Ovis aries: one gene and its partners. The protein of the gene in region 5 interacts with the protein of the main gene of each other region in a pairwise test. Links are inferred from orthologs where the notes say so. Each region holds a gene or a part of one and is shown on either strand. Other genes may lie near its edges.

Region 1 (5,091 bases), on a different chromosome or scaffold from region 5:
TTTGATTAAAAAGATCGAGTTCCCTGCATTACTCATATTCATCTTGCTGCAAATATTTCTGGATTTGAGCCTTACTCATAGAACTAAGAACACTCTTTTAATTCAAGTGTAGTTGGTGTCATGTCCGTGCTCAGTCGTGTCTGACTCTTTGCGACCCTGTGGACTGTAGCCCACCACGCTCCTCCGTCCATGGGATTCTCCAGGCAAGAATACTGGAGTGGGCTGCCATTTCCTTCTCCAGGGGATCTTCCCAACCCAGGGATCGAACTCAGGTCTCCCGCATTGCAGGCAGACGCTTTACCCTCTGAGACACTAGGGAAGCGTAGTTGGTGTACAGTATTAAATATGTCATTGTTGTTTAGTCACTAAGTTGCGTCTGACTCTTTTGCAATCCCATGGACTGGAGCCCGCCAGGCTCCTCTGTCCGTGGGATTTCCTGGGCAAGAATACTGGAGTGGGGTTGCCTTCTCCAGAGGATCTTCCTGACCAAGGGATTAAACCCGCGTCTCCTGCGTTGGCAGGTGGATTCTTTACCACTGAGTCACCATTATATATGTTACAGGTGGACAGTATACTGATTCACAATTTCTAAAAGCTGTACTCCATGAGAACACTCCTAGTCAACCAAAGGAAAGCATACATTTATCCACATGAGAGCCGCATATCTAACCTGCATATTTTTTTTTAACACTGCTCTAAGGAGCTAAGGTACACACCTTTGGAATCTGAGGGTTGTGAGAGAGTTTATCAGTGTAAAGTCTACATAGCTAGTATGGATACTAGATGTCCCAAAAGAGCACAGAAAAACCCAGTCTCAGACCTGAATGTTCTCTTTCCTGAATAAAAAGTTAAATAGAAGAAAAGATATGGAGGCAAAAGAATAAAATATGGAAGTGTCTCAGGAAGCACTGGGAGAAGAACAAACATCCATCCAGCAAGCCCTGGTCCACGACAGGACCCGGTGGGGCATGGAGCGTCTCCAGCTCCAGGCGGACCCCACAACTGACTCGTCTTACCTGGCTGACAATCACAAAATGACAAGCATTAATGCCCAAGGCCCACCGCAACGCCTGCACTCACAGAGTTTTCTTCCTCATCCTGGTCCACCTCCCGCTGCTGGGCCTCCTGGCGCTTCAGCTTCACGTCCATGGCTTCATTAATCAAGTCCCGCAGTATGGACACTCCTTTGGCATTCTTGACAAACGGGTGCTTCAACAAGAAAGTTGAAGATGGTTTATGTGGCACTGATGCCGAAACACTAGCCAGCACGGAGGAGGCCCTCCATAGTCTTTGCTGCATCAACCAGTGCATCTAATCATTCTCTTTATGCGTTGGGCAACAGCCAACCCTAACTCACACTCTCACCTGATGCGAAGAACTGACTCATTTGAAAAGACCCTGATGCTGGGAAAGATTGGAGGCAGGAGGAGAAGGGGACAACAGAGGATGAGATGGTTGGATGGCATCACCAACTCAATGGACGTGAGTTTGAGTAGGCTCCGGGAGTTGGTGATGAACAGGGAAGCCTGGCGTGCTGCAGTCCACGCGGTTGCAAAGAGTCAGACATGACTGAGCGACAGAACTGAACTCACACTCACTTTATAACTCTGAGCAGGCACATTCAGTTTTGCCCAGGTGTTTTTTGGCTTGGCTGGAATGTTTCCTCCATTTCTAGCAACTCTAGAGAGTGTCAACAGGCTGGCATCGACCCCCTAGAGGAAGCTCTGTAAATGTGTAGGGAGCTTACGGTTAAGATGTTTAGAGAACACAAGCTACACGGGACACAGGATAGGAAGCAGAGACACAAGCAATCTCATTCAAAATGCAGTCGTCCCGCACAAAAATACACCGTGCAGATCCCTCACGCCCCCTGCACATCTCAGAGTACAGACACACAGTGATCGTGTACACTGACACAGTTTTTCAACAGATAAGCACAGTCTGGTGAATTTGGGAGGTGATTTCAGAGAGGGGGACATAGGTGGGATAAAGACACTGTTTAGAAATCACTGAATAGGTTACTCATCCTGCTTATTCTTTCTATTCAATGTCCTATAGCATTTCCAACTGTGTATCTGGGTAAAAAGGATTTGGTGGCTTCCCAAGTGGCTCAGTGGTAAAGAATCTGCCTCCCAGTGCAGAAAATTCAGGAGATTTGGGTTCAATCCCTGGGTTGGGAAGATCCCTTGGAGGAGGAAATGGCATCTCACTCCAGTTTTCTTGCCTGGAAAATTCCATGGACAGAGGAGCCTATCAGACTATAGTCCATGAGGTCGCAAAGAGTCAGACACGAATGACTGAGCGTGCATGCATATGCAAAAAGATTTTAGTGCCAAAAGGTAGTTACTGCAGAAATACTAAAACTGGTCACACATACGTAGCAGATGTCAGCCCAAGTATTATGCATCTGCAAAGGCACTTGAAACACAGGGATATTGTTGACTTTCCTCAATAGAAAAAAGGTTAAAACTTTGGGGATTTTTTTTTTTTTTCTGTACCATGTGGCTTGTGGGATCTTAGTTCTCCAATCAGGGACTGAACCCAGGCCCTTGGCAGTGAAAGAGCAGAATCCTAACCACTGAACTGCAAGGGAAGTCCTTTTTTTTAAGTTTTTTTACTTAAGTATATAGTTAATTCACAATGTTGTACCAATCTCTGATGTACAGCAAAGTGACTAAGTTATACACATACATTCTTTTCTTATATTCTTTTCCACTATGGTTTATCACAGAATACTGAATACAGTTCCCTGTGCTATACAGTAGGACCTTGTTGATCATCCATCCTAGGCTTAACGTTTTTAACATTAATACCATCTTACAATTTTGTTGTTTGCCTGTGTAATACAATAAAAAAAAAAATTATGCTGTGAAAGTTACACAGGAAAACTCCTTTCTGGAAGAGTGGGGGTTGCTGTTGTTTTCCAAACTTGTTCTAGTACTGTCCCCAGTGTTTATCTGCAATCCATTCTCTGTTCCCCACCACCCATCAGAAGATATGGGCTCCAAGGTCTTTGCAAGAACTCTAGAAGTGGACAGGATGCCTCAACGTGTGATGGGATTAAAATATGGGAGGTATCTTTTCTATAAAACTGTATCAGTACCTCATCCAGGCAGGAAAATAATTTGCCACTACTCAGAAAAAGAACCCAGCTCATCTGCAAGAGTAACTAGCTCCTGGTTCTCTCCACTGGGCAAGTCCGTAAGTTGATTTCCCTCCTCTTATCTCTTATACAAATCAGGCTGCTCTGTTATTACTTAACATTAGACTTCTGTTAGTATCCACCCACTCATGTTCTGGTGTTTCTTGAATGGAAAGGTTTCTGTTCTTCTTACTGCTCTTAAATTTAAACTCATTCATGATGTTAGGTACAGGTGTCCGATTACTTCATCACATCTCTAAGTTGAAAAGCTGGAGCATTTCTATATTGACACATATATTACTTTATTATAAATAATTATCCTTATATTCCTCCATCATATCACAGATATTACACTGATTCTTTTTAAATTAATGGGCGTAAGTGGATTTTAGTATCTATGAGGTTCATTCCAAAAAGATAGTAAGTATTAAAAAATTTGTGTTGATAAGGCAGCAATGGATCTGACATGACTGAAAAACACTGGCCTAGCTCAATAATAGATATATGTCAAATTCATAATATATTATCTTTAATATGTGAAAATGTTATTCAAAGTCACACATATTGTATCACTTAATCTTCACAACCAACTTATGGGGCAGGTACTTGATCTCTACTGTATAGATAAGAAAACTAAACAGAGAGGTTATGTTACTTGTCCAAGGTCACAGAGCTAGCAAACAGGAAGCCAGGATTCAAACCTGGGCAGTCAGGCTCCAGAATCCAAGCTCCTAAATATTAAGCAAGAAAGTGTGAAAGCGTTAGTCACTCAGTTGTGTCTGACTTCTTGCGACCCCATGGACTGTAGCCCACCAGGCTCCTCTGTCCATGGAATTTTCCAGGCAAGAAAAATGGAGTGGGTTGCCATTCCCTTTTTCAGGGGATCTTCTTGACCCAGGAATTAAACCCAGGTCTCCCGCACTGCAGGCAGATTCTTTACTGTCTGAGCTGACTAAGCATACTGCCTGCCAAATTCCACCCATCCTTCAAGGCCCAAGGTTGAAGTTACCTCCTCCACGAAAGCAGTCCTGGCATCACCAGTTCAAAATGGTGGACCTACCACTGATCCCAGTTCTTTCCCAGAACTGGGTATGGCACTCCTGCTTTGGAGTCAAAAAGACTTAGCTCCTAAGCCTGGCTTTGCTGTTTACCAACCAAGTGGCTCTAAATGAGCCAACCTCTCCAAATCTCTGTTTTCTTATCTGTAGAAGTAAAATAACACTTCTCTCTCACAGGGTGTATGTGCGGATTAAATGGCACAACATGTAAAGGATCCAGCACACAGCAGGTGCTCAATAAAGGCCAATTCCTGTTCTCTGATCCCATACAGCCCTGTATTTTCTTGCATGATTGTCCTGTTCAGTGATTTAACATTCTTTTCTATGTCTCTTCTAAGCAGTTACATTCAAACCTCACAGGAGGCAAGGAATATCTTACAGCTCTTCACCATCTCCATGTGGGTGGGTCAACAGCATCTTGGATGGATAACCTGTGAATGAAACAGAGAGAGAGGCAGCATCCCAGGGTGAGTCATACCTGGAGGAGTTGAGTGGCTGTGGCTCTCTGCTCCGGGCTCTTGACAAGACACTGCTTCACAAAATCCATGAAGCTATCTGACCACAGTTCTGGCTTTCGGAATGTGGGGGGTGGGTTGGTAGGAATCATGAAGATGGCCTGGTTGGAAAGAAAAAAAAAAACCGATTTGGCAAAATAAAAGTGATATTCCAATAAAAATATGACTAGACATAATTTTGAAGTTTGATAAAATGATGTTCCTCTTCTCCTCCATAAGCCGATCCTAACTGCAACGAAAATCTAAGATTCTCAAAGTAGGAAGTATGACCATTAGAGCAGGAGTCCCCAGGAACCAGGCTGCACAGCAGGAGGTGAGCAGCAGGCAGATGAACGAGGCTTCATCTGAATTTACAGCCGTTCCCCATCACTCACGT
Region 2 (5,091 bases), on a different chromosome or scaffold from region 5:
TTAACCTAAGCCAAACATAGTGGGGGAAAATGTCTTGAAGAAAAAATTTCATATGATGCATTCCAGATTATACAGGAGTGATTAATGGATCATTCTTATGACTCCACTCCATTTTTATAGGTAATCAAGAGTTGACTGCGTGTCTGAATAAGATATTGACATCCTGTGAGACTTAAGTTTTGTCTTTTATTTGAGAGTTTAGGGTATTGAAGTCATTGCATTTAAGTCAAACTGATTTCTGTATAAAATTATCTTATTTTTTAAAAAGGGAAATTTTTTATATAAAAAGTAAAATGAGGCATATATATGAAAAGTAAAATTTTCATTCTTATAAAATGGAAGAAATCTACAAAGTAGAAATAAAATGTTACTAATATTTACATTGCACTCATACTTTAGAAGCACCTTTACCATCCATAAGTTAAGTAGGTACAATGTAATTAACATACAAAATAATCACTAAAAATGCAAATGACTCATCATTGAACAATGTATTATTTTGAAAGCTGACTTCAGTGGCTTAGTGTTTTTAGTGTTTCATTGTTTGCTGGCAACTTCTGGTGTATAACTCAGGGCTATGGTAGGAAAAATTGTAGCAGGAAAAAAAAAAGAGGACCAGGGTTGCACTGTTTTATTTTGGAATCAGAAAAATGTAACTTTTATTTATAATTAAGGGGAATAGGTAATGTTACACAATGCCAAACCATCCTCATTGTAATTGAGCGTTTATGTGCTAACAACAGTTGCAAATTGTAGTCACCTGACAGGAGGGAGAAACCCATGTTATGTTTCAGTGAGCCAGTTTGACTAACACTTCAATATATGTCTAGGCTTTTTCTTCCCTGGAATCATGGTATATATTTTCATAGAAGTACAGTTTTTGTGCATATGTTCATGCCATAATTTAATTCACTTTTTTTTTGACTAAACATTTTTACCAATTTCACAGAGAAGCAGAGCTCTTTTCATTAACAAGCATTATTGTGTATTGAGTAGAATATAATAAAACATGGAGATAAGCTCCTTGAGTAGCCAGGTTGCCTTAATGCTCCTTACCCCATCGTGCCTCAGTACATTTTCTGGACCTGCCAGGTCATAATAAACTAGAACTAGTATGACACCCTTATTTTATAATAGAACCTCTATTTAAAATTTCAGGGGAAATCAAATGTATCCCAGTTAATTTTTTATCAATATCTATGAATTAAAATGCTAACTAAAAACCATAGAATGCAGTTTAATTACTTTATATTTCAGAAGACATTTGACCCTGGCACTCATGGGTATATGTTCGATATTCCAGAGAACAAAGAAAATTGAGACTTGAACAATTTATTACGTACAGTGTGTACACTAGACTTCTGCCTGCCAGTGCAGATGGAAGAGACCCAGGTTCGATCCCTGGGTTGGGAAGATCCCCTGGAGGAGGAAATGGCAACCGACTCCAGTATTCTTGCCTGGCGACTCCCATGGACAGAGGAGCCTGGCAGGGTGCAGCCCATGCGGTCGCAGAGTCGGACACAGTGGAAGCGACTTAGCACACATGCACGCGCGCTAGACTAGCTTTTTAAAGAGAAACTTAATACAGCACTGGGAGAAGACACAGCCTGACTCCTGGCGTGGGAGAGCAGGATTTTGGGTACCATGGTGACCAACAGCAGTCTGAAAGATAAATCAAAATATTTGATCTTTGGTGCTTTGAGGGCCTGTCACCTAATCCAGCCACAGGCAAGTGTCTCTGGAGTTGTGCTGTTCAATAGAAATATGATACAAACTACAGGTGTATACAGTCGGCCCTCTGTATGCCCAGGTTCTGCACCATAGGATGCAACCAACCTCAGAGAGAGAAAATATCTGAAAAACAAAGTTGCAAAGCAAAACTTGAATTTGCCATGCGCTGACAACTATTTATATAGCATTCACATTATATTAGATCTAGAGATGATTTAAAGTATACAAGTAGGTTGTATGCAAATACTGTGCCATTTTACATTTGGGACTTGAGCATAGTGGATTTTAGTATCTGAGAGGGGTCCTGAAACCAATCCTCTGGTGAATACCAAAGGACAACTATAATCTTAAAAAAATTTTTCTCATAACTGTGTTAAACAAAATGGAAAGAACAAGGTGAGACTTCTTTTAATAACACGTTTAATTTAACCCCAAATATTATTTCCACGTGTAATCAGTGCTTTTAAAGTAAACAGTGTACATTATTTTTGTGCTGCGTCTTCGAAGGGCAGTGTGTGTTACACATAGAGCACATCTCAGTTTGGACCAGCCACATTCAGTAGCGACATGCAGCCAGGAATGACGGAGACAGTTCACTCTGGGAAATCTAGGGAGCTGTGTGTGTCCTGGACATTAATGAAAAGGAACTACCCTCATATCCAATGTAAAATATTAAATTATAGACCTTGTTCAGTCACCAAGTCGTGTCCAACTCTTTGTGATCCCATGGACTGCAGCACTGCAGGCCTCCCTGTCCCTCACTGTCTCCTGGAATTCGCCCAAGTTCATGTCCATTGAATTGGTTATTACAGACCTTAGAGGGTGGTGCCTCCGGCTGTGCTGGCCAAGCAAGCCACTGACCTATGTCATAAATTCGTTTTGGTACAACTTATTTCCATATAAAGATAAATACTGTTTTGTTTAACTTGATCACTGGTAACATATTCATGAATTTCATTACTTTTATCTTTCTCCAGGTGTGACTCTTGCCTGTGGTCAAACATTATGCTATATCTAAGTTTTCTGTACATATTTTATGTAATATAAAGAAAAACAGCTTTATTTTATGATTTGTATTTCATCTGCTAGTAACCTGTAACTATTATGAATTTTATTAAGAAAAATAATAATGAATACCCTTCAAGATATTAAATTATTTTTGGTAAATGGATATGTCATAATCTGATTTGCATTTTCTTTTATATTTTAAGGATATGGAATATTATCTTGTAAAATGGAAAGGATGGCCAGATTCTACAAATACTTGGGAACCTTTGCAAAATCTGAAGTGCCCATTACTACTTCAGCAGTTCTCTAATGACAAGCATAATTATCTATCTCAGGTAAAGAAGGGCAAAGCAGTAACTCTAAAAGAAAATCACAGAGCCTTGAAACCTGCTGTTGCTGAATACATTGTGAAGAAGGCTAAACAAAGGATAGCCCTGCAGAGATGGCAGGATGAACTCAACAGAAGGAAGACTCACAAAGGAATGATTTTTGTTGAAAATACTGTGGACTTAGAGGGGCCACCTTCAGACTTCTACTACATTAATGAATACAAACCAGCTCCTGGAATCAGCTTAGTAAATGAAGCTACCTTTGGTTGTTCATGCACAGATTGCTTCTTTGAAAAATGTTGTCCTGCTGAAGCTGGAGTTCTTTTGGCTTATAATAAAAATCAACAAATTAAAATCCCACCTGGTACCCCCATTTACGAGTGCAACTCAAGGTGTCAATGTGGACCCGACTGTCCCAACAGGATCGTACAGAAAGGCACACAGTATTCACTGTGCATCTTTCGAACTAGCAATGGCTGTGGCTGGGGTGTAAAAACCCTTGTGAAGATTAAAAGAATGAGTTTTGTCATGGAATATGTTGGAGAGGTACGTTCACCTTCTCTCATAGCAGATAATGTACAAGGAAGGTTTATGCTTTTGAAAAGTTGCCTTTTTAACCTCCGTGACAAACATTTGGTATGTTTTGATAATTGTTGCAAATATGTACAAATTTCAGGTTTGAAAGAAGGGTTCACTGGTATCATTAAAAATATAAACTTGAATATGAATCAAAAAATTAATGACAAATGTAGTAGTCATCTTTCAACAAACACCCAGTCATAGTCACTGAAACTGGCATTTGTAAATTTGAAAATATGACAACTATTTTTACACAAGAGTCCTAAGACAATTTTGAAAATCAGATATAAATACATCCTGACTTGGAAACTTTGCGGGGGGGTGGTTACTTTTTAACTGGAGGAAAATTGCTGTACCATGTTGTGTTGGTTTCTGCTGTACAACAACGAAAATCAGTCATATATATATGTATCCCTACCCCTCCCTCTTAGGGCTCCCTCCCCCCATCCCACCCCTCTAGGTCATCACAGAGTACCAGGCTGGGCTCCGGAAACTTAAATTGTAATTCACTTCCTCCATTTGACCAAATATGATTATGCGTAGTCGGCAAAACTCGGTTTTGTACCAGTAGGAGAGACTGTAGAGTAAGTGGACGATTTATGACCAAGTACTATAAAATACACATAAAAACAGGTATTGCATCCGCCAGCAAGGAATGTCCAAATCCTTTGTAACTCGGTTACAAAGACTGTTCTCTAAATTACCAAATACTAAGTAAATTGTCTTTATACATGCAGTGTAGATCTACAGAAGATAGTATTTACTGCATACTATTCTAAGCACCTTGTGTTTTAACTTATGAATTCTGTCAGCAACTCTATGACATGGTAGCATTCTCTCCGTTATTATACAGGAGGAAACTGAGGCACAGAGAAAAATAAAGCAACTCACCCAGGGACACTTAATAGTAACAAAGAACCAACATTCAAAACCAAGGCTCTAGAATCTTGACCCCTGCACCATTCTTCCCCAGACTGAATGGTGGGAGAGGCTGTGGCTAGAAAAATACAAGTGTGACTGCATATCTGGGGTTGTCAACTCAGATATTTTAGAAGTTGTTTGGAACTGGATCACCTTTAAGTATCTGCATTCACCCAGAATTCTCAGGTTAAATTGCATCCCTATTTTGATCCTTAAATTTTTAGACAATGGCAGATTATTATAAATCACTGTTCAGGAGACTGGATCTCATATAATCAAATCATTCTCTTTTTGAGTTTAATAAATGTAGCTGAATTTGGTTGCCACCATGAATCACTTGAGACATTTTTGGTTTCTTAATCTGAGCATGTGGTGAAGCTGTGTTCTTCAGAGCGGAGCTCTATAGATGATGGTCGTGAGTTGCAGAATTGCATGAAAACCACCTGTTCTACAAAACTAAACTTGCCATACAGTTAACTGTGGATTTAACATACGTTCTCTCCTGTATTTGCAACTTATTTCC
Region 3 (5,091 bases), on a different chromosome or scaffold from region 5:
ATAGTTTATTACTTATTATGATCCTCTGGGCTGTCCAGCTGTGTTGGTGGGGTTGAGCATCCAGGCTGTTTGCTCACATGTTGGAACTGTAGCTGAGTCTGGGGGCTGGCATTGGCCTGATCCTGCCCCCTGGAGCAGACTGCAGGCCATCAAGATTCTAGGGGCAGAGCTGAGCCTGTGCACATGAGACTGCAGGTGTTGTCATGCTCATTTCTGGACACAGGGACATGTGAAGAGAATAGAAGGTTCAGGACAGTTGACTGGTCTGTGGTTCCCCGTACCCTGCTCTGACTGACTACCAGCCAAGAATACCTTTTCTCCTCCGTCTGCCCACATCCTGCTGTCTTTGAAGAGCCAGCTGTGTGTCCTCATCTGGCCTGAGGACAGTCCCTGGTTCCTCTCCCTTCTCTGGCCCTCTTCCCCGAAACTCATCCTAGCAGTGTTGGGGGGTGGGGGCTGCTTGTCTTTCCAGGACTGTTCTGGAAGAGGTGGGGGGAGCTGTCCTGCCAGGCCTGTCCCGGGGACCCATGCTCTCTCACCCACTGTAGCCCTTCCCCTGGCTCCCTCCCTAGTGTGGGGGAAGGCTGATTCTCTGACTTCCACAGACCAGACAGGAATGTCTCCATCCAGTCACAGAAGTTTTCTCAGGAGGAGCAGAACAAAGTCTTCCAGGCCTACCATCAAGATCTGGGTGGGGTCAGTTTGTGTGAGGAAGAGGAAACAGAGATCAAAGATCTGGGTGGGGTCAGTATGTGAGAGGCAGAAGAACCAGAGATCAAATTGCCAACATCCGTTGGATCATCGAAAAAGCAAGAGTTCCAGAAAAACATTTACTTCTTTATTGACTATGCCAAAGCCTTTGACTGTGTGGATCACAACAAACTGTGGAAAATTCTTCAAGAGTTGGAATACCAGACCACTTGACCTGCCTTCTGAGAAATCTGTTTGCAGGTCAAGAAGCAACAGTTAGAACTGGACATGGAACAACAGACTGGTTCCAAACTGGGAAAGGAGTACATCAAGGCTGTATATTGTCACCCTGCTTACTTAACTTACATGCAGAGTAGTACATCATGCGAAATGCCAGACTAGATGAAGCACAAGCTGGACTCAAGATTGCCAGCAGAAATATCAATAACCTCAGATATGCAGATGACACCACCCTTATGGCAGAAAGCAAAGAACTAAAGAGCCTCTTGATGAAAGTGAAAGAGGAGAGTGAAAAAGATGGCTTAAAACTCAACATTCAGAAAATGAAGATCATGGCATCTGGTCCCATCACTTCATGGCAAATAGATGGGGAAACAATGGAAACACTGACAGACTCAATTTTTGAGGGGCTCCAAAATCACTGCAGATGGTGACTGCAGGTATGAAATTAAAAGATGCTTGCTGCTTGGAAGAAAAGCTGTGACCAACCTAGACAGCATATTAAAAAGCAGAGACATTACTTTGCCAACAAAGGTCTCTCTAGTCAAAGCTATGGTTTTTCCAGTAGTCATATATGGATGTGAGAGTTGGACTTAGAAAGAAAGCTGAGCATCGAAGAATTGATGCTTTTGAACTGTGGTGTTGGAGAAGGCTCTTTGAGAGTCCTTTGGACTGCAAGGGGATCCAACCAGTCCATCCTAAAGGAAATCAGTCCTGAATATTCATTGGAAGAACTGATCCTGAAGCTGAAACTCCAATACTTTGGCCACCTGATTCGAAGAACTGACTCACTGGAAAAGACCCTGATGCTGGGAAAGATTGAAGGCAGGAGGAGAAGGAAATGACAGAGGATGAGATGGTTGGATGGCATCACCGACTCGATGGGCATGAGTTTGAGCAAGTTTCGGGAGTTGGTGAAGGACAGGGAAGCCTGGCATGCTGCAGTCCGTGGGCTCACAAAGAGACACGACTGACTGACTGCACTGAATGTGTGTGAGGTTCATCAGCCCCAAGATAAGTCCCCAGCAGTTCTTGCTCCACTGACTCGGAGGCGGGTGTGGTACAGAAAGGCTGTCCCTGGAAGCTTCAGGTGACCCATGCCCAGGCCCCCAGCTAATGTCTCTGTGCTCCCCTCTCCAGGAGATGGCGGGCAGGGCCCTCAAGCAGACCGGCAGCCGCAGCATCGAGGCCGCCCTGGAGTTCATCAGTAAGATGGGCTACCTGGAGCCAGGCAAGGAGCAGATCGTTCGGGTCGTCAAGCAGACCTCCCCAGGTGAGTGCACTGGAGGCTATGGAGAGGCGGCTGTGGGGAGAGGGCCTCATGGCCATCGCGCAGACCACCTCCCTCACAGGAGTCCGGATACGGGGACTGAACCTGCCCTGCCCAACATCCTATATACCCCAGAATGGGGGCAGATCGACACTTAGCTGGGTCCTTACTTCCTGGGGATTTGTGGAGTTCTGTTCATGAAAGGGAAAATTCAAAATGAAAATTAGGCCACTCAGCAGATTCTTTCTTCTGGAGTTGTGCGGGAGTCTTAAGGGGAGGCTTATTTCATTGATTCTAAAACACACTTGTTTCCCACTTTGTGAGCTCGGAGACCAGGCTGCACGGTGGCAGGTGGCTCCAGAGTACAGTGCCTCAGGCAGAGGTGTGGGAAAGCCACTCCCACCATACTCCCGGGGAGGGAGGGCCAGTCGCCTCAGCACCCCTGCCTGCTAGTCAGTGGGTGTTTCTCTTCCTGGGTAGAGCAGATGGAGCCATTTTGGGGACCTGAGGCCCCTGGGGGGCAATAAGGGATTCAGGATATTGACCAGAAGGAGTTTTCCCTGGAGACCTTGGATAAACCCAGTTCATCTGCTGAGTGAGGAACTTGCAAGGGCTTTGTATTAAATGCATTGTACCTTCCTTGAGATGAGAACACAGGTTTCCCTTTTCTTTTTTTTTTTTTTGACGGCATAACATTTCAAAAATGTATTTATCTACTACATATCTTCAAAATATATAAACTAGAAATTGACAGAATTAAAAGAACAATAGAAAAACATATTTTCACTGTGGGTGAATTTAACCACCTGTCTCAGGCACTGACTGAGAAACGCAGAGTGAAAACGGTGAGAACACGGACATTTGCCCGTCACATTTCGCTTCTCTTGATTGAGGAACGCCCTTAAGCATCGCCTTGCTGCCGCCACGTCTCGGGGTCTGGGTGACAGCTCATCCCCCGCCCCGGCCCTGGGGGCAGCCCCGGCGCTGGTGCTTCATGTTCCCCTGGGGGGCTCTGCCGGGGCTCCTGCGGCCCTAGGAGGAGGGTACCCGACCGGCGACGCGGGGCCTTCTGCTCGCGGCCCTCTAACGCCGCCTCCGTCTCTGCCCGCAGGGAAGGGCCTGGCGCCGGCCCCCGGGCCACGAAGGCCGAGCTTCGAAGCACCGGGCGAGCCTTTCCCGCCCTTCACGCAGGTGGCCGGGCCGGCTTTCGAGGGCCCCGCCGCCCTGGAGGAAGCGCCCCGCCCGTACCCGGACTTCCTCTTCGCCGGCGTCGGGCCTCCTTGTCGTCCGCACCCGCCCAAGGGCTACACGGCCGCCGGGGAGGCAGCTCGCATGAGCCTCGCGGGTCCCGGGGGCGCGCACTACAGAGCCCCGCTGCTGGTGCCCACGGAGCCCCTGGGCTATGGCGTCAAGCGCAGCTCCTCCTTCCAAAGCAAGGCGACCCCGGAGGCCGGCGCGTACGCGGGGCTGGCCGCCAAGGGCGCGGCCGCGCCGGTGCCAACCCCCGGCCTCCAGTTCCCAGCCCCCGGCGCCGCCTACGCTCCGGCCCCGCACCCCAAGCCGCCACACCAGGGACACCCGGGGGCCCCCCGGGGCGCCGCGTTCGCCGGCGACAGCGCCCCGCCCGGCCTGGCCGCCCCCGCGCGCACCGGCCTGGGCGCCGAGCGTTTCGAGCCGGGCGCGCCACCTTGGCCGAGCGCCAGCCTGGCCCGGCGGGACTCGCTCCCCAAGCCGGGCCCCAGCCGCACCGGTTCGTTCAGCGGCGCCGCGGCCCCGCCTAACGCCGTGACGGCCGTCACGGCCGCGCGCATCCTGCATCCAGTGCGGAGCGTGCGCGTGCTTCGGCCTGAACCCCAGACGGCCGTGGGGCCCTCGCACCCCGCTTGGGCACCGGCGCACCCGCCCGACGGCCCGGAACCCGCGGAGGAGCTCTCAGGGGGCGCCGAGGCGCGGGGCCGGCCCCCGCCTTATCCGCGGCACTTGCTGCGGCCGCAGGCCCGCGCCGAGCCGCTCGACGTGGACGGGCTGTGCGCTGGGCTGCAGCAGGGCCTCCGGGGCGGCCGCGCCTCTGAGCCCCCCGACGGCAGCCCCGCGAGCCCCGGGGCCACCAAAGCCGACAGGGTGGGCAGGGACCGGAAGCAGATCCAGACATCTCCGGTGCCCGTGCGTAGGGGCAGCCGCGACGAGGACAGGCGCGAGTCACGCATCAAGAGCTACTCGCCTTCGGCCTTCAAGTTCTTCATGGAGCAGCACGTGGAGAACGTGCTCAAGACCCACCAGCAGAAGGTGGCGCGCCGGCTGCAGCTGGAGCAGGAGATGGCGAAGGTGGGCGCAGGGCACGCCTGGTGTCGGGGTCCCAGTGGGAGAAGCCCCCCCGCATCGTGTCCCCTGTCCCGGCTCGGGGTGGGGAGGACTGTGCGGATGTTCCCCCGGTGAACGAACGCGTCGCTTGTTACGGCGTGTCCTTTCCGGGGAGCAAATCCATCAAGGCTCTCCAACTGGTAAAGAAACACTTTGAAAGAGGAGAAAGAAAACTTGAGTTTTTTTTACACATTGACATTGTGGGAATTTTAAAGAGAAGTATGGCTATTAGTGATTCAGTTCATTCTTAATGAAGTCTATAGTTGTTAAATAATGTTTGAAGTAGATGCTAGTTGACACTAAGCTGTTAGGGAACGTTAATTATTAGTGAAATTATAGAAATGCTATGGTGATTTCAGATTCTAAAAAGTTTTAAAAATAAGATCGGATTCCAGTGAAAATGCTGTTCCATTTTCATTGACTTTTCTGTTTTCCCGTTTTCCTCTGAACTGTCATTAAATTATTACATTGCTCTTAGAGTTCCAGGAATTTTACGGTCCCCTTTTGCACAAATTTTTAGTGATACAAGT
Region 4 (5,091 bases), on a different chromosome or scaffold from region 5:
CTTAAAAAAAGAATTTGGATATATGCTACAACAATGGATGAACCTTGAAAACATTAAGTGAAAGAAGCCAGACACAAAAGGACAAATATTGTATGATTTCACTTATATGAGATGCTTAGAATAGTCAAATTCATAGAAACAGAGAGAATTATGGTTATAAGGTGTTGGGGGAGGAGATAATAAAGAGTTATTTTTTAATGTGTATAGAGTTTTAGTTTGAGATGATACATATTTCTGTAGTAGACAGTGTGATGTCAATGTACTGTAATGCCACTGAACGGTATACTGGAAAAATGGTTTAAATGATACCATTTTTATGAATACTTTACCACAGTTTTTAAAATTTGAGAAAAGACAAGGAAAATAGATCCTGAAATTAATTGTTACTAATCTTAAATACATATAATTTGAAAAAAGGGAACAGATTAGAGAGGATATAGTGGGTTGAAGAGTGGCCCCCAAAAGATATGTCTATATCCTAATACTCAAAACTTCTAAACCGGATCTCATTTGGGAAAAAAAAAAAAAAAATCCCTGCAGTTGGAGATTGTTCTGGATTACTGGAGTGGGCTCTAAATCCTATGACATCTGTCCTTTAAAGAAAAAGGCAGAGGAAAATCTGAGACAGACAGAAGAGCGAAACGCAGACACTCACAAAGGAGAGAGTAATGTAAAAGGTGCAGGCAGGGACATATAGCTGCAACCCAAGGAATGCCAAGGACTGCTGGCAGCCACCACCCCAAAGCTGGAAGTGGCAGAAAACGGAGTCTCCTTTAGAGCTTCTGAAGGAGTGCAGCTCTGTCAACACCTTCATTTCAAATTGCTGGCCTCCAGAATTGTAAGAGAATAAAGTTCTATAGTTTTAAGCCACCAAATTTGTGGTAATATGTTAAGACAGCCCTAAGAAATTACCATGGGGGTAAAAAAGATAAAATGAAAACTAAGAAAGTAGATTTGTTAAGCACAGAACATGTCATTCGAGCTAAAATTTAACTATGTAAAAAGCGAGAGAAAAAGGGAATCCTGAGCTTTGTCGCTGAGTTGTAATTTCTGGCCATACGATGTCAGAGGGCAAAGTCCTGTGCACACACACTGAGATGGGCCAGGTGCCGACCCAGGCACACGCAGCAGGAACTGGGGGATGGAAGATGTGCAGGTGTGCCGGGGGTGGGGACAACTTAACTGGCACCTCTAACCAAGCCCAGTCGTCCAGAATTTCTCAACTTGGTTCTATTATTAATTGGGCAGGAAGGAAGGAGGTCATGGATTCCCGTTTTATTTTTTTAATTAAAAAATGACTGACTCAGTTTTCAATTCTTAAGACCTGGATATAAACATTTTTAAAATTTTTTTAAAAAGAAATCATGTTGGATTAGGAGTATACTTGGTTGTGACATAGTGCCACGTAATTTGCAATGAGAGAAGCTACTCTGCGCTTTATTTTTTAAATCCTTGGCTATCTGCTAAAGAGACTACCTCATGGTCAAACTGAATATGTGGAACTGTTTGGTTGGAAAAAATAAGATTTATACTGGAGGAAGCAGAACAGTAATACTCTTAAGTTCTGGGTTAAATCCCAGCTCTGGCACTTAGCTAGGCTGTCTTGGATATTTTGGTTAACCTCACTAAACTCAAATATATCTAGCTGAAGATCACCCCAAAAACTTTCTAGCTGAAAGTACCAAAGATATCTAATAATCAGAAAAGAAATGAGAATTTTATTGATTGTTTTATGCTGACCTAGTTATATTTCATGTCAATATTTTCAAAGAATTCATGCTATTTTTCTGTTTCGCTTTAGCAAGAGGAGTTTACATGTACAAGGAAGACGATACATATCATATACAATTATGTTCCTCAAAGAGTTCTCTTTAAAGTGGCAGGCAGATTTTTAAATATTTCAGTATAGTACATTATTATCTACACTATTGAAGTTCAATTCATAATAGCACTATAGTATCAGAATTTTAATTTATTCTTCTTTTTCAAACACTCTAAAATATGGCATTATTTTTCCTCCCATCTATTTACTTCACACATTTCTCCATCTATTCTGAAATCATCTTCTTTTCTTTACACACACACACACACACACACACACACACACAGACTCTCTCTCTCCCTCTCCCTCCTCCACCTTCTTTCTGCCTTCATTCCTATATCCTTTCTTCTCGAGTTGAATACAGCCACTAGAGGGCAATACGTTTACAAAGATAAATGTACTTATCTATAATGAATTGAGACTCACACACTAATAAATTTAAAAACTGTTCATCACCTCTAAAGCAGTGGCAATTAGACTTGAATATGCAATCTATACATTTCAGACTCAAAAATTTATCATGGAAAAGGAGTTCATACAAGCATAAAATAATATCCATAAAAGGAATTTCATTTTCTTGCTGAACACTAAAAATAAAAGCTTATTTCACTTACAGATACATAGCAATATTAGAAATCGGGATTCCCTTTTAATATTAGCTCAGCTAGAGAAACAAAAACACAAAAAGGTACAATATGCAGGGTAAGTAGAAGAGAATGGATTTCTTCCAAGCCTCCACTGTTACATTCAGAATATGAGGAACTGAATAATGTAGTGGATTTACCAGCCCTTTCTTCTATTTAAATCATGGGGAAATTTAGCAGGTATACTTTGGGGGGAGAAAAACAGCCACTGTAGAGAGAAATACAGGCTTCACTTCTTTTCCTCCCAGTTAAGGATATGATGGTGGAAAGAAGTGAACAGTCACAAATCCCTGACAGATAATTTTGCTAATTTTTGCACAGACTCCAAATTCAAATGATCTTTTTACTCCATGTTTATTTACACTCACACTACAAAACTGCAGCACTTTTAACATTGACATTTTCCATCATTTTCTTACCCTCATCGGATGTATATCAGCATAAGGAGGTTTTCCTTCAGCCATTTCTATAGAAGTAATGCCAAGGGACCAGATGTCAGCCACACAGTTATAGCCTATTTCTTGAATGACCTCAGGAGCCATCCAAAATGGAGTTCCTATCACAGTATTGCGTTTTGCCATTGTATCCTGCAAGAATATTACATAGATATAACTGCAACTACAAAAACACCAAGGAAATGCATTTGCCAACATATTCCTTAAACTAAATATTTGGAACCCTCAAATACTACAGGTTATATCTGAAATTGACTATTTTCCTAAAATTTCAACCAGTAGTGACATGACATATTTAGGAATTTAGAATTCTGAAATAACCAAGAGTCCATAAGTAACTTAACTCCACTACCTTCATTAAAGATAGCACTATAACAATAAAACCTACAGAAATGAACAAATGCAGCTTTCCTTTCCAAATATTTAAGCATTTTGATGGCAATATATATTCTTTCATATTCATCCAATGTCTCTTAAACGGTAAATAAAAAAATAATTAAATAATACCTAAATAATGGCTTCTTCTCCTTGAAGCAATGAAGTTATGCATTTCTTTTCATAACCCTCAAAAGATATTACCAAGGTTTAGTCACACTCGAACCTGGACAATACAAACCAACAGTGCTTCCAAAAGTGTTACACTTACCGTTAACTGACCAGCAACTCCAAAATCCGCCAATTTTGCATGTCCTTCTGTATTGAGGAGAATATTTCCAGCTTTTATATCTCTGTGTATTTTTCTCATAAAGTGTAAGTATTCTAGTCCTTTCAAAGTAGATTTGAGAATGGTTGCAATTTCATCTTCTGTTAACTGCAAAGAAATATTTTAAAAACTCAACTGAAATGCTGAGACAACTAAACTCTTACAAGAGAGCATTGTTAACAAGCACTTCTTTCTAAAGATCATAAACTTTTAGGAGCAAGGCTAAAAGGAAAAGTACCGAGAACCTCTTCTCCTGAAGGAAAGCGTCATCATTCAATTTCTCCTTTCTTTAAAATTATCCATGTCATTCCTAAAGCACGTAACATATCCCGAGAAGCACCATGACCCTAAGAAATCACTCTTCCCTACGCCATCTAACTCTGAGGTGGCAATATGACAGCTGTCTGTCCTGAAAAAGTAAATCCAGAGACACCCTTCCCTGCGGTGCCTCCTCACTTTCCTGCTGAAAGTGGAAACCAACAGTGTCGCAGAAAGCAGAGGAAATGCGGAGGGGTGAGCTGCCAAGAGCCTCCTGCACGAAGCATGGACACCAATAACACTCCTCCTCCCACACCCGCGTCCTAGATTTCCAACTCTAATAATGAGAACTCAGAAATGAGAATGTCAGAGAAAGACCAGGAGAACGGAAACGTAAAAACAGGCCATCAGGGGAAGGAAAAAGGAGGAGCGAGGTGCAAACGTAAAGACTTTCCGTACTGATAGCACCAGAGTCAGTGCTATCTGTACTAGGCATTGTGCTAACAGTTCCATATGCCTTAGCTCATTTATCTTTATAACAACCCTACACAGCAGATTATCACCATTTGACAAAAGTAAAATACGGGTACTCAAACAAACATGTACACGAGTATTCACAGTAGCACTATTCACAATGGCTAAGACAACCCAAATGTCTATCACAGAGGAACAGATAAATTACGGTATACACAAACAATGGAATATTATTTGGTCATGAAAAGGAATAAAGTACAGACATGTGTTGCAATGTGGATGGACCTCAAAAACATTATGCTACGTGAAAGATGCCAGACACAACAGAAAGCACATACTGTATGATCCCACTTATGTGAAATATTAAGAATAGGCAAATCCACAGGAAAAGAAAGCAGACTGGTGACTGCCAGGGACAAGAGGGAGAAGCAGGATGGAGAGAAACTGCTTAAAGGATAGCAAGGTGATGAAATATTTTGGAACTACACAGGGGTAGTAATTATACAATATTGCAAACGCACTAATGACAAGGAATTTTCCCCTTTAAAATGGTAAATCTTATGTTATATGAATTTTCCTCAATTTAAAAAAACCTTTATTGTGTTAGAATTTCTAAGCAAATTGCCAGGTGGTTTATATTTGCATAAAATACGAACATATACTGTCATAAAGTACTGCACAGACCATGTAAAGCTTTGCAGACCATGGATAAGGAGTCTGGATTATTTGAAAATT
Region 5 (4,931 bases):
CATTCCCAGATCCCCTGGTCTGCTCTGATTTTTTTTGTATATACGCTGCCCAAGCGAGTACTCCTGGTCCACCGAAGAGGAGGGGAGACTGAGAATCTTCCACATTCCAGCAGCTGGTGACAGGCCGGGACCGGCAAGAGGTGGGGACCAAGCTAGCTCCATCCAGGAGTGGAAATGGAGGGGCCTGGACCTTCCTTTGCCTCTCTCCTAAACACACTTCTCAATTCCCGGCGAGGACTCCTCCCCATCCACTTCCTCCAGGTCCCCCAGAGAAGGGGTGGGAGCGCCCACACGCGGAAATCGAGGTGCTAGTCTAGACTGCACAGTCAGCCTTAGTAAGGGGTGGATAATGCCTGTCCCTGGTCTACCCCAAGCCACTCAGCTGCTTCCCCTGGTTCAACCGGTCTGTGACAGAAACAGCAAGGGCTCGGCACCCAGTACCGATGTGCTGAAAGCCCGACACACGGTTCCGAGGGCTGGCCCCGGTCCGATTCGAGATCCACGCTGACAGGAGGGCGGAGCGGCCCACAAACTCTCGAGACTGCAACGTACCGTGGAGGGGCGAGATGCCAGAGATCGCCCCCGCCCGCCTCCCTCAACCTCCGGTCCCCACCTGGTCCCGACGCGGCCTGCGCGCCAGCGAGGTACGCGCAGTGAAGTACTGCTCGAGCTCTGAGTCCGAGTCCTCCTGGCTGCAGTAGCCACTGCTTGTCGTGCTGTTCCAAGTCATCTCGAAGGAAGGCGTTCCCGCGTCCGCCTCACCCATCGCCGCGCCAGCCAGCCCACCAGCCCCGGTGCACCGGTAGACTCCCACCACCGCCCCAAACGCGTGTGCGCGTGCGCGCCCGTATATGAGTGTGCGTGCGCAGGAACCAGTGTCCGAGCCGCAACCGTTAACACTGAAACGTAGACAGCCAAGACATAGCTGTCATCTCATTGGAGGAGGGATGTCGAAGGGCGGGGTCACACACGCCTCGCCTCCAAGAATGATCTCAGCCCTGGGGCAGCTCAGTTCAGCGCAGTCTCGCAGGCCCCGCCTCCCAAGGGACACTATGGGGCTTGTGCGCGTGTGCACCAGCGTGGCCTCGAGGCCGGATGCAGCTGCGGGAAGGTGCGGAAGTTGCACTTGCGCGCAGTCTGGGCGGCTCCGGGCGGTTAGGGCCGAGTCAGCACCCCCCGGCACCCCTTGGAGCCCGCGCGCAGAATTAGCCACTCTCTGCCTCCGGGAAGTCGGCTATCAAAACGTTTATTGCGCGTAGCGCCGGGCGGCCCTAGGGAACGCCTCCAATGTGGCCCCGCTCGTCCACGCATCCCTGCGTTGCCCGTAAGCTCCCCGGTCCCGCGCTCACCACATTCGTGTCCCGCTCCAGCGCCGGTTCCCAGCCCAGGTCCCGGGGCCCGCAGCAGTCTAGGGAGACGAGCGCGCGGCAGCGGTAGTGGCAGGTGAACTTGCAATCTGCAGAGAGGCCTGGCCATAAGGTGGAGGAACCCCAGCAACCAGCTCGGAGGAGCGTCCCGGGGACAGAAGCGAAGCCCCGGGATGAAGGCCGTTGCTCGTCGTGTTCTCCATGACTGGCCTTATCTTAGTCCCCGTTAACACCCACTGCCACTCAGATTTTAGAGTCTCCCCTGCCGCCGCGCCTCCCCGTTCTGTCCCCCCCCCCCCCCCCCCCCCCCCCCCCCCCCCCCCGCCCCGGGCCTGGAAACTGGCAGGGAAGACTTCATGCTGTTAGGGATCCAGGCCTGCTCAACAGTTGGATTTCTAGCGCCTAGGGCAGAACTTCCCCTTCCTCATTATCAGCGTCCCTCCCTCCTCCCATTTACTGGAGGGGGAAACAAAAAAACTTTTAACTCAGTGCCTCTTCGTGTCATTTTTCTCTATTCCCCTTACACACAAAACTTACCAACACTGGTCTCTTACTTAATTCCTCGCCTTCATCCTCTACCCATTCCAGTCTTGCTCTCCTCCCTCCAGGGAACTCAGAGACCGAACCGCGGAATGCGGTGGTCCCTTCACCTCTTCAGCATCGTCTGATGCTTGCTCTCCGGATTCCCCGGGGGCCCTCACTACCGCGGTTTTCCTCCCACCTCACTGTAATCCCTGTTCAGGGGGCTTTAGTTCTGTTTCAGCTTCCAGATCTAATGGTGGAGAGTCCGAGGCCCAGTCCTGATCGCTTTTCTTCTCTGTGTACACTGACCTACCTTAGATCCAAGGCTTCCATCTGACCTCCTTGAGATCAAATTCTGTGTCAGTATCTTCATTTGGCTGTCCAATAAACAATTCAACCAGACATGGCCAACATTTAACTCACTTTCCTACTCCTTTTAATTCTTCACTTCTCCTCACCCTTGCCCTTGCCAGAGTTCAACTCAGCAAAAAACAAAAACCAGACCAAACCACCCCAACTCATCCTTGATGCCTCTCTTGTTTCTGCTTCTGACACACACCCAAATTGTCCTGTTTTTCATTCCCATGGCCACTTTATTTCTCCTTGGGAACACTGCTATCTTCCCAGCCCTTGTTCATGCTTTTTGTATGCTGCCACAAGTCCCATACTCGTCCTAGCTGAATAAAGACAAACTCCTGTACTAGATGAGAGGGTCTCCATCACACACAGGCTTGGGACATCTTCCCTAAGTTCCTAAATGGGCCAGAGCAGTGATTCTCCACCCAGGCTACACATTAGAATGACCTGTTTTTAAAAATCGCTGGTACACTCTCAGTGACCTGACTGATTCAACAGGTCTGCAGTAAGATCCAAGGGTAGAGGTTTGGAGGGCTATAAAAGCATCCCAAGTGTTTCTAGATGGTGTATGGCCAGTGAGACAGCAACCTCAGCTTGCTGGTGATTTCTGGGAGGGCAGAAGCACCAACTGGCGTGTGGTTGCGTTTCATGTTTTAGCAGCTGGCTGACTGAACTTCCAATAGGTATTTGCTAAAGACAGACTCAAAACTCCTGCTTGTAGCCCTGTGCCCAAGTTTCTATTTCCAGGCCTTCTCCCATAGGTGGGTAAGTTCCCTTCACCACAGGGATTCTCCTGGGGGACTTGGCAAGTGAATCTTTCCAAAGGGGTAAGTGTAAGAATGTGAGTCCAGAGACTGACAGGAACAAGCCTTTCTCAAGAAGGGCCAAGGCACTGGTTAAACTTGAAAGTAGTACCTTGTTTACAGAGAAGCACGTTTGCCTAACTGTCTCAGAGGCAGGTGGAGCTTGGCAAGGTTATAAACTATCAGCCCGCACTCTCTTGTGCTATGGGGCAAAGGTTACAGACCTGGTCTGTGGGAACTGTCCCCCCTGACCCCCTCCATCGCAACTTGGCCCTCAGCGACGGGGCTGTCCCTTGGCTGCCCGTTTCGCTCCCGCCAGCTCTTGGGTCCGCTACTCACGCGCGCACTGCAGACCCTTGCGCACGACGCCCCAGATGAAGTCGCCACACAGGTCACACCACGTGTGCGTGGCGGGCCCCGCCGGCTGGAAGCGGTGGCCCCGGCCCGGGACCTGCTGCCTTGCGGCGTTGCGAGCTGTGCCCGGCGAGATGCGCAATGCATTGGCACGCTCGAGCCGAGTGCGCCCCGGGGCGGCGCACCGTTCGGGTGCCAGTTCCCGCAATTCAATGAGCTCAGGCTCAGCGGACATGGCCCGGTCGGGCCGGGTCTCCGGCCGGTTCTGGGCGCTAGCGAGCGCGGGGCGGGCGGGGCCGCGGGGCGGGCCCCGATTCGGCGCCGCCTCCAGGATTCAGGCAGAGCGGCGGGAGAGCAGAGGAGAGCCGCGCAATGGAAACCTGGGCGCCCGCGCTGTGTCGGCCCGCAGGCGGAGTGGGACGGCGGGTGCGGCTGGGGGCTGCTCTCTCAGAGTCCCCGCCCTCCGTTTCCTATCCTCCCTTCATCCCGCGAGCCACTCCCCTCCTCTTAACAACCACGACGACCTCAAGGGGCCACGAGGAAACAGGCGTGTTTGTGGAAGCTAGCTTTACTTTACAGTACTAGAGGAAGAGGGTCCCCACATCCGGCCCTTGTCCCCTCCCCCCCGCCCCCCGCCCAGGCCTCCTGCCCCAGCTTGGGGAGGCTGCACCCTAAGCCTTCGCGCCTGATAGAGCAGGAAGTGGGGAGCGCTTAGATGGGGGGAGATGGGTCAACAGCTCTTCCCGCCTGCTATCCTCACCACCCGGGAGGCTGGGGCACTTGCAGAGGCCAGATTGAGATCCAGAGGTTTTGGGGGGACACTTGAGTGGGTTGTAGGCACGGGTGGTTGGCCCTCAGCCGCTGCAGCCTTCACTTGGCTCTGTCCCCCTGGGCTGCCAGGACACAAGCCTTTCCATGCTTCTCCCAGTGCTTGACTTGGCACTCCCTGCAGGCAAATGGGCCGGTGAAGATGCAGTGATCCGAGGGGTATGGGAATGGGGGTCCAAGGTCCTAGGATGCCCTCACCTGCAGCAATACCACTCATTCTGGCACCGGGAGCAACGCTTGGAGGCCTCTGCACTGCAGTAGGCACAGCGGGGCCGCTCTGGAGCCACTGCCTCGAGCACATCCAGCCTGTAGGTCTCAGCCCACCTGGAAAAAGGGTCCGGAAGGACTTGCTGGACCTGTGGGTGGGGGGACAGGGGCAACCCCACCCACATCCACGCCGCTGCCTCCCTTCTCCTCTTCTGCTGGCTTAGCAGGCCTCACCTTCGCGCCTGCAGCCTCAGGTCCTGTTCCGAGGGGCTAAATACATGCCGCAGCTGATGCTTGGCGATAGCCTGCCACTTGCCTTTGTTCTCTCGCTCTAGCCGCTCCCAGATTTCTGGGATCTGGGGAAGAGAAGCAGAGAGTGGCAGGGAGGAAGAGCTGGTCAAGTGAGCAGTGGTCCTGACCAACTAACTTCCAAGAGCCTACCTGTTCCAACACCAGGTCCTTCTTAGGGGGCTGGGCTTCGGTCAGGGCCAGG

Evidence for each region. The genes of interacting proteins can lie anywhere in the genome.
Region 1: the proteins of RASSF1 (region 5) and STK4 interact in binary tests that used the Homo sapiens proteins (3 or more experiments, as listed by UniProt). The link is inferred for Ovis aries from reciprocal best matches to the Homo sapiens genes RASSF1 and STK4.
Region 2: the proteins of RASSF1 (region 5) and SUV39H2 interact in a two-hybrid assay, tested with the Homo sapiens proteins (2 studies listed by BioGRID and IntAct). The link is inferred for Ovis aries from reciprocal best matches to the Homo sapiens genes RASSF1 and SUV39H2.
Region 3: the proteins of RASSF1 (region 5) and LATS2 come close enough for resonance energy transfer, tested with the Homo sapiens proteins (2 studies listed by BioGRID). The link is inferred for Ovis aries from reciprocal best matches to the Homo sapiens genes RASSF1 and LATS2.
Region 4: the proteins of RASSF1 (region 5) and STK3 interact in binary tests that used the Homo sapiens proteins (3 or more experiments, as listed by UniProt). The link is inferred for Ovis aries from reciprocal best matches to the Homo sapiens genes RASSF1 and STK3.

What each region holds. Positions count from the first base shown.
Region 1 is NC_056066.1:73,339,648-73,344,738, reverse strand, and holds part of STK4 (serine/threonine-protein kinase 4), read right to left. Parts: intron 4,817-5,091; coding exon 4,679-4,816; intron 1,210-4,678; coding exon 1,081-1,209; intron 1-1,080. UniProt on the Homo sapiens protein: Stress-activated, pro-apoptotic kinase which, following caspase-cleavage, enters the nucleus and induces chromatin condensation followed by internucleosomal DNA fragmentation.
Region 2 is NC_056066.1:28,885,092-28,890,182, forward strand, and holds part of SUV39H2 (histone-lysine N-methyltransferase SUV39H2), read left to right. Parts: intron 1-629; exon of another isoform or gene 630-2,942; coding exon 2,943-3,614; exon of another isoform or gene 3,615-5,091. UniProt on the Homo sapiens protein: Histone methyltransferase that specifically trimethylates 'Lys-9' of histone H3 using monomethylated H3 'Lys-9' as substrate.
Region 3 is NC_056063.1:35,915,676-35,920,766, forward strand, and holds part of LATS2 (serine/threonine-protein kinase LATS2), read left to right. Parts: intron 1-2,070; coding exon 2,071-2,203; intron 2,204-3,311; coding exon 3,312-4,525; intron 4,526-5,091. UniProt on the Homo sapiens protein: Negative regulator of YAP1 in the Hippo signaling pathway that plays a pivotal role in organ size control and tumor suppression by restricting proliferation and promoting apoptosis.
Region 4 is NC_056062.1:78,477,528-78,482,618, reverse strand, and holds part of STK3 (serine/threonine-protein kinase 3), read right to left. Parts: intron 3,733-5,091; coding exon 3,568-3,732; intron 3,054-3,567; coding exon 2,886-3,053; intron 1-2,885. UniProt on the Homo sapiens protein: Stress-activated, pro-apoptotic kinase which, following caspase-cleavage, enters the nucleus and induces chromatin condensation followed by internucleosomal DNA fragmentation.
Region 5 is NC_056072.1:50,057,921-50,062,851, reverse strand, and holds the start of RASSF1 (ras association domain-containing protein 1), read right to left. Parts: upstream 3,671-4,931; 5' UTR 3,639-3,670; coding exon 3,389-3,638; intron 1,457-3,388; coding exon 1,350-1,456; intron 824-1,349; exon of another isoform or gene 767-823; coding exon of another isoform or gene 614-766; intron 1-613. Other genes in the region: ZMYND10 (zinc finger MYND domain-containing protein 10), read right to left, coding at 4,274-4,349, 4,430-4,555, 4,673-4,794, 4,880-4,931. UniProt on the Homo sapiens protein: Potential tumor suppressor. Required for death receptor-dependent apoptosis. Mediates activation of STK3/MST2 and STK4/MST1 during Fas-induced apoptosis by preventing their dephosphorylation.